3 linked regions of the Saccharomyces cerevisiae S288C genome follow. The gene in region 3 interacts genetically with the main gene of each other region. Each region holds a gene or a part of one and is shown on either strand. Other genes may lie near its edges.

What was found.
Region 1: mutations in MPH3 (region 3) and GLO2 together harm fitness less than expected from each alone (positive genetic interaction), as found in Saccharomyces cerevisiae (one large-scale study listed by BioGRID).
Region 2: mutations in MPH3 (region 3) and CDA2 together harm fitness more than expected from each alone (negative genetic interaction), as found in Saccharomyces cerevisiae (one large-scale study listed by BioGRID).

Annotation. Positions count from the first base shown.
Region 1 is NC_001136.10:1,007,210-1,010,334, reverse strand, and holds GLO2 (hydroxyacylglutathione hydrolase GLO2), read right to left. Parts: upstream 1,326-3,125; coding exon 501-1,325; downstream 1-500. Other genes in the region: DON1 (Don1p), read right to left, coding at 1-159; Cu(2+)-transporting P-type ATPase CCC2, read right to left, coding at 1,646-3,125. UniProt on the Saccharomyces cerevisiae protein: Thiolesterase that catalyzes the hydrolysis of S-D-lactoylglutathione to form glutathione and D-lactic acid.
Region 2 is NC_001144.5:746,358-749,502, forward strand, and holds CDA2 (chitin deacetylase CDA2), read left to right. Parts: upstream 1-1,579; coding exon 1,580-2,518; downstream 2,519-3,145. Other genes in the region: chitin deacetylase CDA1, read left to right, coding at 1-168; DPA10 (Dpa10p), read right to left, coding at 491-754; IMH1 (Imh1p), read right to left, coding at 2,677-3,145. UniProt on the Saccharomyces cerevisiae protein: Hydrolyzes the N-acetamido groups of N-acetyl-D-glucosamine residues in chitin to form chitosan and acetate. Chitosan is a component of the spore wall.
Region 3 is NC_001142.9:737,669-741,430, forward strand, and holds MPH3 (alpha-glucoside permease), read right to left. Parts: upstream 2,149-3,762; coding exon 340-2,148; downstream 1-339. UniProt on the Saccharomyces cerevisiae protein: High-affinity uptake of maltose and maltotriose. Also transports alpha-methylglucoside, glucose and turanose but not melezitose or trehalose.

The sequences.
Region 1 (3,125 bases), on a different chromosome or scaffold from region 3:
TGGAAAGTCAGTTTTCGGGCTACTTTCTTTTTCTTCAACGTTTGTATAGTCTTGCGATGGAAGCTCCAATCCCGAATTAGTGTTTTTAATATTCTCTACTTTTAGAAAAGAGGTTTTAGCAGCATTATTTTCTTTTCCCTTTCTATTTTTCTTTCCCATGTTTGATGCTTCTCTTACTTGTGTTTAAATACCAGCCAAAGTCAAGTAGATAGTAAACCGCAAAAGGAAAGCCATTTTAATTCTGGAGCTCAAATATCCATTGCTTTATTTCTACCCGAAAATGGTTTTGTGACGGCAATGATTACTCTACTCGAGCCGCCCGTATTATTGGAACTTTTCTTTCAGCCACGCGAAGACTAATTTTTATGACGGCACAACTACAAGAGTTCTAGTGAACAGACCTGAATGTTATAAAGTAGCGTTCCAAAAACTCTTATACATTGAAATAAAAGGGTATGCTAAAAGAATATTTTTAAGTATATTATACTCTGTTGGCTTTCCTACATACGGTTTTTCATAGCTCTCAATTTATCCATAATTTGAGCTCTGTCCCATGAATTATTCGTATCTCCGGCAGCTTTTTGGACCTTTGGATCTTCTAATCTCATGAATGGATTAAATTCTACCTCATCTTTCAAAGTGAACCGCCCTGCTGTGACTTCATGCTTGGAGCAGAATTGTTCTAACTCATCCAATGCTTTATTTTCACCAACTTGCGGGTAAATCTTACGAACAAACTTTACATTATCACTTGTGTATTCGTGTCCTGGATAAACCCTCGTTTTACTCCAGTTCTGCCTGCCCACAGTTTCTAAGATAGAATTGTTCAGAGCTATATCCATTTCTTCGCCTGTACCCTCAAAAAACCTACCGCAACCAGCGGTAAATAGTGTATCGCCAGTAAAAATGCAGCGCTCATCTGTTGTTGGATCTTTCACATAATAACAGATAGAGTCTCTGGTATGGCAGGGCGTCCTAATACAAGTAATCTCTAAGTCACCTAGGTGTAACTTTTTCAAATTCTCCGGAATTATCGTAACCTTTGGGCAGTCCTTTGACCCTCCTATAACCTCAACTTTTGAAGTTGGATTTTTCTCTTTTAAATACTTCAAGATATCAGCGTTACCATCTGCATGGTCATAATGGTGATGTGTATTAACAATTGCTTCAACACTTATTTTCTCATCCTCAGTCAACTCTGGCAGAACCTCAGGAGGCTCTGCTGGATCGATTAGCCACGATTTTTTATTTTTACTGTCGGACAATAGATAGCAGTAATTAACACCACCAGACTCCCATCTCATTTTAATCGATTTAACCTGCATTTTTTGTCCTCCTTTTCTTGTGTTTTTGTGTTGTCCTGCAGTCTTCCCTTTGATATTGGTAAATCTAGCAACTTATCTAAGAATACTAAAATTTTTCTAAGAGGGATATAATGGGTTTTTAAATCGGTAAAAAAATCCTTATTACCTCCATAATATCCCTTGAAACCGACGGGTAATACGACTAGTAGACTTACTGAAAATACATAGAGTAGGAGTAAAATATATGAATTTACTAAAAAATTGATGAATATTAATTATTATTATTGTTATAAATCTATATGCTCGTGGATTTTTTTAAATAAATTAGACTTACCTGTTATTTACAAGACTTCTTCGTTTGACATTAGTCCGGCCTGTGATTCTATGTCTTGCTCACCTGCAATAGCCCGCGTAGAAAAAAGCCTTGACCAAAAATTCCCAATCGAAAATTTGGACTTGAAATCTGAAATCCCATGTGATTCAATATCCGGTGGAGTCCACTTCTTCAACATCAATGAACTTAGAACGACACTGACCGAGCTGAATGCCATCGCTAAACCGGCGAGCATTGGAGGAAGAGTTATGCCCCAAGGAATGAGCACACCCATAGCAATCGGAATCATGAATATATTATAGCAAAGTGCCCAGAACAAATTCAGCTTTATTCTTTTGAACGTTTTTAGTGAAATATCGATGGCGTTGGCCAGTCCTCTCAAACTATTAGTATTCAGATCATTACCGCACAGTATAACAATATCAGCTGCTTCAATAGCAATCTCCGTACCTGTTGAAATGGCAATACCTAGATCACTCAGTGCTAAAGCGGGAGCGTCGTTAATGCCATCGCCAACAACAGCAACCTTGTTATTACCTTCTTTATCTTGAATTTTTTTCACGAGATCACATTTGCCTGTGGGTGACACATCGCTGTAAACATTTTCGAAGCTTATACCTACTTCTCTAGCGACTCTTTTTGCTGCTGAGTTATTATCGCCAGTAATCATATACGTTTCATATCCATTTCTTTGTAGATACTGAACTGTTGCGTAAGAATCATGTTTAACTTCATCATTAATCTCGAACAAGCCAAACACATGCCCGTTTACTGATACGTATGATACAGTGTTTCCTTGGTCGACATTACTGTTAATAAATCCGGATTTTTTTAATGCATCCTCCAAAATCAGCGCCTCGTTCCCAATACAAATATCATAAGTATTTCCATTAACTTGACACTTTGAGACTATTCCCTTTCCAAGCACGTATTCGCTTTCTAAAACAACGGCATTTAAAGCCTTATTACAGTTCAAACCATCACAATAACGTATAATTGCTTTCGAAACTGGATGGTCACTAATGGATTCCGTTGCTTTTATACAGGCGAGAACTTCGTCTTCATCCACGTTTCCAACCCAATTTGAATCTTTAAGGAACTTTTTCACAACCATAAAACCTGTAGTTAAGGTACCTGTTTTATCAAAAACAAAAGTAGTAATACTATTGAATTTTTCCAATACTTCTCCGCCCTTTATTAAGACACCATTCTGAGCTCCAACCCCTGTACCCACCATTATAGCAGTCGGCGTGGCAAGTCCCAATGCACATGGGCATGCGACGATGACAACAGAAGTAGCAGTTTGTAAGCAAATAAAAAAATTATCAGCCTTAGTATTTGCGGTGAAAGCGACGGGAGGATTAGCCGAGATGTTTAAAATAAAACACCAAATAAAGAAAGTCAATACTGCCAAAATTAGGATCCCCGGAACAAAAATAGAGGCTAAATAATCTGCATACCCCTGAATGGGAGCTTTACTCAATTGT
Region 2 (3,145 bases), on a different chromosome or scaffold from region 3:
ATGGACATAAATACTTGGAAGGGAAAACGGAAAGGTTTGATCTTAGAGCACGATGGTGCACGAAGAACAGTTGAGGTTGCTATTAAAATCAACGAACTTATTGGTAGTGACCAATTGACAATTGCAGAATGTATTGGTGATACAGACTACATCGAACGCTACGACTAGAAGTAAGATTTCCGAGAAATAAAGTTTCTCTCTATATATCTTTGATCTCTTATTTAATTATTCAACTCGCAAAAATAAAAAGAATATTTTGTTATTTCAAAAGTAAAAAAGTATGTATTAGAATAGAGGACATATATAAAAATCATATATATCGATGCTTGAATGTATAAGGAAAAGCGTCAAATTATGAACGGTAGGTACTTAGGATGCTGATGTCACATAAAGTCAGAGGGTATAACTTTAAAAAGTAATTTTTTAGAATCTTTTAGCGTCAAAACGTTACACGTACATTTGAACAGTGTTAAGAGTAGATTAATTCAAATTATACTTTTACGTGCTCCGATACAGTCTCTACCTCTTCGTTGTCAGTGCAAATAACAATTGGCTTATCATGAACTGTTCTTGGAGATGGAGAATATCCTTTCAGACTCGTAATATTGATGACGGTAGTTATTCTGCGACATTGAGTAGTACTAGCATCCCTTATAACCGGAATAGTTGTTGATGTAGGTGAACTTTTTGGGACATAACACTTGGCAGTTGTTTGCAAATTTTTTGTGATCATTGATATGTTTCTTAGTGACATTTTTGATGCTATTGTTTTTATAGTGTAATTGCTATGAGTTTATTTTGTTGACAAGTATACTTGGCTGTCTTTTTTATATAATAACGAAAATGTGTAGTGGAAAAGCAGGTGTGTTTTGTCTTATATCTTACAAACTATATAGGCTTATATAGTTTTTTTTCAAAGATTCTTATTACTGCACAAAAAAAAATAAGATCCCAAATTGAACATTAACATTAGTCATATTCAGGGATGGCTCATCACGAACAGCAAACTGAATAATTTTCTTGTCTGCGTTCCTTTTTTTGTGCACCAATGGATGTAGTATGCGCACCTGATGCGCATAATAGATTGCAATTACACTGACTACAACTTACGTATATGCGTTTTTATTACTTTTCTATTGCAACGGCCTAAAGGAATTCGATAAAAGAAAGAGTAGGCAAGATAAGCCTGAATTTGGCTTTCGGCTGTTATTTTTACTTCCGCTAAATTTTCTTTGTTCTTCCATTGTTTTTTTGCCTTTGTGTTCTCCATTAATCCATCCAATTTTAATGTCGGATTAATGGAACTTTCTATTAACCCATAAATGCCACATAGTACGGCTGTAGCAGTGAAGGTTACAAAAGGACGGGTAACACATGAGAAACATGCGTCAGGGAACAAACTAGATATTTGATTTTGTGACGCAACGCAAAAATTACTGGCTATTCTTTTGTAGTATTATCAAAATCCATTTAAAATATTCTCTCTCCTTCAGTAATCCTCTATTATTTATCAAAAACCCACAGTGGGTAAACAAACTGCAAAAGAGTTGTTATTATTTCTACGGATCGGCAATTGAAAATGAGAATACAACTAAATACAATTGATTTGCAATGTATTATTGCACTTTCCTGTCTGGGGCAATTTGTTCACGCGGAAGCTAATAGGGAAGATTTAAAGCAGATAGACTTTCAATTTCCTGTATTGGAAAGGGCAGCTACAAAAACGCCTTTTCCGGATTGGCTTAGTGCATTTACCGGGTTAAAAGAATGGCCTGGGTTAGATCCACCTTATATACCTTTAGATTTCATTGATTTCAGTCAAATTCCAGATTATAAGGAATATGATCAAAACCATTGCGACAGTGTTCCAAGGGACTCGTGCTCTTTCGATTGCCATCACTGCACCGAACACGATGATGTGTACACATGTTCCAAACTTTCCCAGACATTTGACGATGGTCCTTCTGCTTCCACTACTAAATTATTGGACCGGTTGAAGCATAATTCCACCTTCTTCAATTTAGGTGTCAATATAGTTCAACATCCAGATATCTATCAAAGAATGCAAAAGGAGGGACACTTAATCGGCTCACATACCTGGTCTCACGTATATTTGCCAAATGTATCGAATGAAAAAATTATAGCTCAAATTGAATGGTCCATCTGGGCGATGAATGCTACTGGCAACCATACCCCCAAATGGTTCAGACCTCCATATGGCGGAATAGATAATAGAGTAAGAGCAATAACAAGGCAATTTGGCTTACAAGCCGTCTTATGGGATCACGATACTTTTGATTGGAGCCTCCTTCTCAATGATTCTGTCATAACTGAACAAGAAATTCTTCAAAATGTAATAAACTGGAACAAGTCAGGAACCGGATTAATATTAGAACACGATTCAACGGAAAAAACTGTCGATCTTGCCATTAAAATAAATAAGTTGATAGGTGATGATCAATCAACAGTTTCTCATTGTGTCGGCGGAATTGATTACATAAAAGAATTCTTGTCCTAATTTTCAGGGAATTGAAGAAAATAAGGAAGAATTAAATTACAATTTAAAAAGAAATTGCTTTAGTATTTTATATATAGACATGCAGCAACTTCTTGATATATTTCAGGAAGAAAAAAACTGTTTCAATATATACGTATCTTCTGCTTTCAGCTACATTTTTACTTCAGAGACATAACCAGTCTTTTTTCATCAGTACTGTCCAGTTGTAACAACATAGAAATTACAGGAAGTAATTGGTTCCGTTGTTCCTTGTGCTCCAAAAATCCCAACAAAACATTTTTTATATATGCAATTTTTTCATTTTTCTCAGAGTCTAACTCCAATGAACTTGATGATCGTATCTTCTCTAATTTAGTTGGATTAGAGTTATTCGCTGGTGAGGAATCAATATTCGCGTTAGCTAGAGTACCGATAGAACCAGACCTACTAACTCTTCCTGACTTGTCACTGTATTGTCTTTCCTTTAAAGCATTCAATTGAGAGGACAATGAACGATAATTTTTTAGTAATCGATCAAATTTCTTGTTAAGTTCGTTATTTAAATTCAGAAGTTTCTCATTGGCAGACTGTAGCTCAAAATTCTTTTCATCAGCCTTAGACAATGAGAGTTTTAAATTAGATGTGATC
Region 3 (3,762 bases):
AAATGTATAAGGGATGTACGAAGTGAGTGCCCAGACTGTTACTATGACAATTAAACTAATGTCGATGACCATTTGTTTCGACAACTCCATCTTCATTTTCTTCACGCGCCATACTCGGATGAGAAAGAATCTTTTCTCTAACTATACATTTCCAAACGCAATGATCAAGAAGAAAGCTAAATGTTACTTTGAGTTCAATTACTGAGACATGTCATGGGAATATGAGGAAGAAACAAATCTACGTGTATTATACTCCGTAACATGTAGAGTAAATACCATAGTTACCTATTTACCTGTGTCGATAAATGTTCATTAGCTCATAAGTGATGGGATACATTGCTATTCCTCTGCAATGGAAGCTTCGATATCTCCCTTGGGGTCGTTATGAGAGACGTCTTTAGGGGGGGTTTTGACAACAAACGGATCTACTTTCGTCGATTTGAACTTTCTTGCAGAAACTCCAAGTTTAAATAACTCATTTATTTCCACGAAAGTCTTTCCGGCAGTTTCTGGTAGGTCAACCACAGCCCAGATTAAAGTACAAAAGCATAAGACACCCCAGAAAAAGCCTGACTTAGCGCCCCAGTTCCACTTCTTAGAGTTCAGTTGGTATAAGATGAGAACGCTACATATGATACTGACCACATTATAAGTGTTACGTGCTAGAATGATTGTTTTCGTTCTTAGTCTTGAAGATGGCATTTCAGAGACTAGGCAAAAAACGACCGGGGCAATTCCTAAATTGTAAAAAAATGCTACAGCCATTAAAAGAGAACCACTTCCCATTTTGGAACCGTGCGTACTTGAGCACCCCAAACCGCCAATAATGAAAAAAACAATGGTTTGGAAGGCTAGTCCAAAAGCGTAAAGGTCATATCTACCAAAATACTTTGACGCCCACCAAGATAGAAATGTAGCACAAATACCGAGACAGTATTGAATAATACTAAAAGTGAAGGACATTTCAGTACTAACGCCAGCCTTTTCGTAAAAGTAAGTTGAATAACCTATTAGTATTGAACCACAAGTGGCTTGACCAGCCCAGCAGAGACAAGTAATTCTCGTTCTTCTTCGATTAATCTTGTCTTCAAAACAATCACTATAGGAGCCTTCTTTACTTGTGAGTCTCTTTTCCTTATCTATAGTCACTTTTATTTTGTCCACCTCCAGAGTTACTAGTATTTCTTTTTCAGGTCCCTTGCCGCTTAAAGTTCTTCTAAGTGATCTCCTTGCCTCATCAAACCTTCCTTTTTTAACTAGCCACCATGGAGATTCAGGTGCAAAAAAAATTCCCAGTGCTAAAGGAACTGGCAAAATCCACTGTAGGGCAAATGGTAGTTTATATCCTAATTCTGAATCCGCATATTTTTTTTGAGAATTTTTCATGATTCCAGCTGCAAAAAGTTGTCCAAATAACCAGCACAAGTTTGAATAGGTTGTAAGGTAATATCTCAGAGCCAATGGGCATATTTCAGAAGCGTAAGACACCGTCAAACACTGAAAACAACCCCATGGCATCCCGCACAATGCTTGTCCCACAGCAATCATGCCTAAACTATTGCAAAAGTACAGTATAAAAGTGAAGGCAGCTAAAAAAAACAATGCAATAATCAATGTGTAACGATTTCCAACAAGATCCACGGAGGGCCCCGTTAGCTGTAGCCCCACAATTTCACCTGCCATATAACATAAGGTCAGCCCGATTTGCCATGACGCTGAAATTTCCCATTCTCCAGTTTTGTCATTTTGTGAGCCAAACTTTCTCTGAAAAATAGGCAAGGCGTAGAAAGCTCCAAGAATAGCTGTGTCGTACCCTTCCATGATTAAAGTTGTAGAGACCAATAGTGACCAAGCTGCTGCCTTGGGATATGTATTCAATGCTGTCGCAAGTGGCATTCCTCTTTCACTTTCGTCTGCCTCCTTGGCATCCTCAGTAGCGTCAAATATCTCTGTTATTACTTTATTGCTATCGCTTGGCGCTCTTGTATCCGGACTGAACTCAACATGAACAATATCTAAGCCGTCCTTCTTAGTTTGATCATCCATTTCTATCCAGCTGGGTTCATGCGACTTAGCCTTTCCTGGGTATACATTCGAGTCACTTGTATTTTCCTTTCTTCTGTTTATGAGAAAAGATAAGTTTTTCATAGCTAGGTAATGGCTTTACAAGACCTGTATCTCTATTTGTGTTAGATTTTGTGATGGTAATCTTTGCATAATAATTCCAAGAACAGGCCTCTAAGAATTACAAACAACGATTACAGATGACCCCACCTTTTTTTTATATTCTATAGTCAACACTATCATGAACTTGTGGCATACTCATTGCATATGGCTGACAGGATGTCAAATGCTCCCTTCTACGAAAGATTCTGTGCACGTAAAACGCGGGGTGTGGAATGTCGCGATGACTCTCGAGCAGAGAAAAAGACAAACATATAACGAGCTGATTCCTCTCCAGAAGAACAAAGCCAACATTGATTCAAACTGAGGACTTAATATGATTGACTCTCTGGAAACTGCAACAGTGTGATTATAGATCAGAAATTCATGCTGTAATTTTAGTATATCGACCTGTCGCGATGTTGCAAGCGTGACAGATCTATACATATTTCGCTAAAACTGTCGGTAAAATACCAACACGCTGCACTGCAGACCACAGATTCGAACCGAAGCATATTTTCAGAAATTTACGAGAGGTCTTTATAGTCACCAAAATATCCAAATTGAGTAATTAGAAAGAAAAAAACACACATACTGTAGTCCACAACCTGTTTACGGACAGGTTCTGGCTGATGGGATAACCACTCTACCTGACTGCTCTCCTACTTCATATTTACCTCCCGAACAACGTGAAATCTTTTTGCTTGGAGAAAAACAAGTAAAAAGTATAAATGGAGATGAAAGATCCACCAATAAATTCCAGCTTGATTTTTCAACATATGATGACAAATGTGAGTGCTAAATCTAAGTCGTAAGACAAATAAGAACTTTTACCATAATCAGTATCCTGGGAAAAGTGGTAGAACTACAGTTTATCAAGCTTACCCACAAAGCATTAAATATGCTCCCACAATAACCTCTGGAGTGATATAACAGGTATGACTTTCAAGTTATAGTATATTAAAGATCTTGGAATTGGGCGGTTTAGGCTTGTTCATTTCAAAGCTCGAGTAAGATTTTAGTATACTTTTCCCTATAGAAATATTTCCGACATAGATTTTTTAATATAAGCACTTCTTCCATGACATTTTGTTTCAGTTATCTCTCTTTCGTCGCTACTTGAGAAAACTATATGGTTGTACGAAAAAGAAATGGCCAAAATATTCTTTGGGCCTTATTAATCTCATTACTATTGTAAGAGTTGGCCCTTAATTTTATAGAAACACTGTTTTAAGGCCAAAAAAAAAAGATGCCAAACATAGAAAGGAAATGTCGCTTTACTTGGCTAATTGGCTCTAAATCACAGGTCTTAATACTCGAAACGCCATTGATGTACTGTGCACAATTTCCATTCCGGGTTAATTATAAAGATATCAGCGTTTATTTTCATCCATGGCAATGAAAATTGTAAAATAATCATCATCAAAATTTGATATGGTTGCAATAGAGGGAATGATTTGATTTTTATGAGACTTATACGCATCACCCTGTATTTTTGCAATTACGGCGATTTATAAAACTTATAACGGAATTTAAGAGTTTCATCCTACCAAGCGTAATCATAGATATAAAAATTCTATTGTGCAACTCATATTTGTC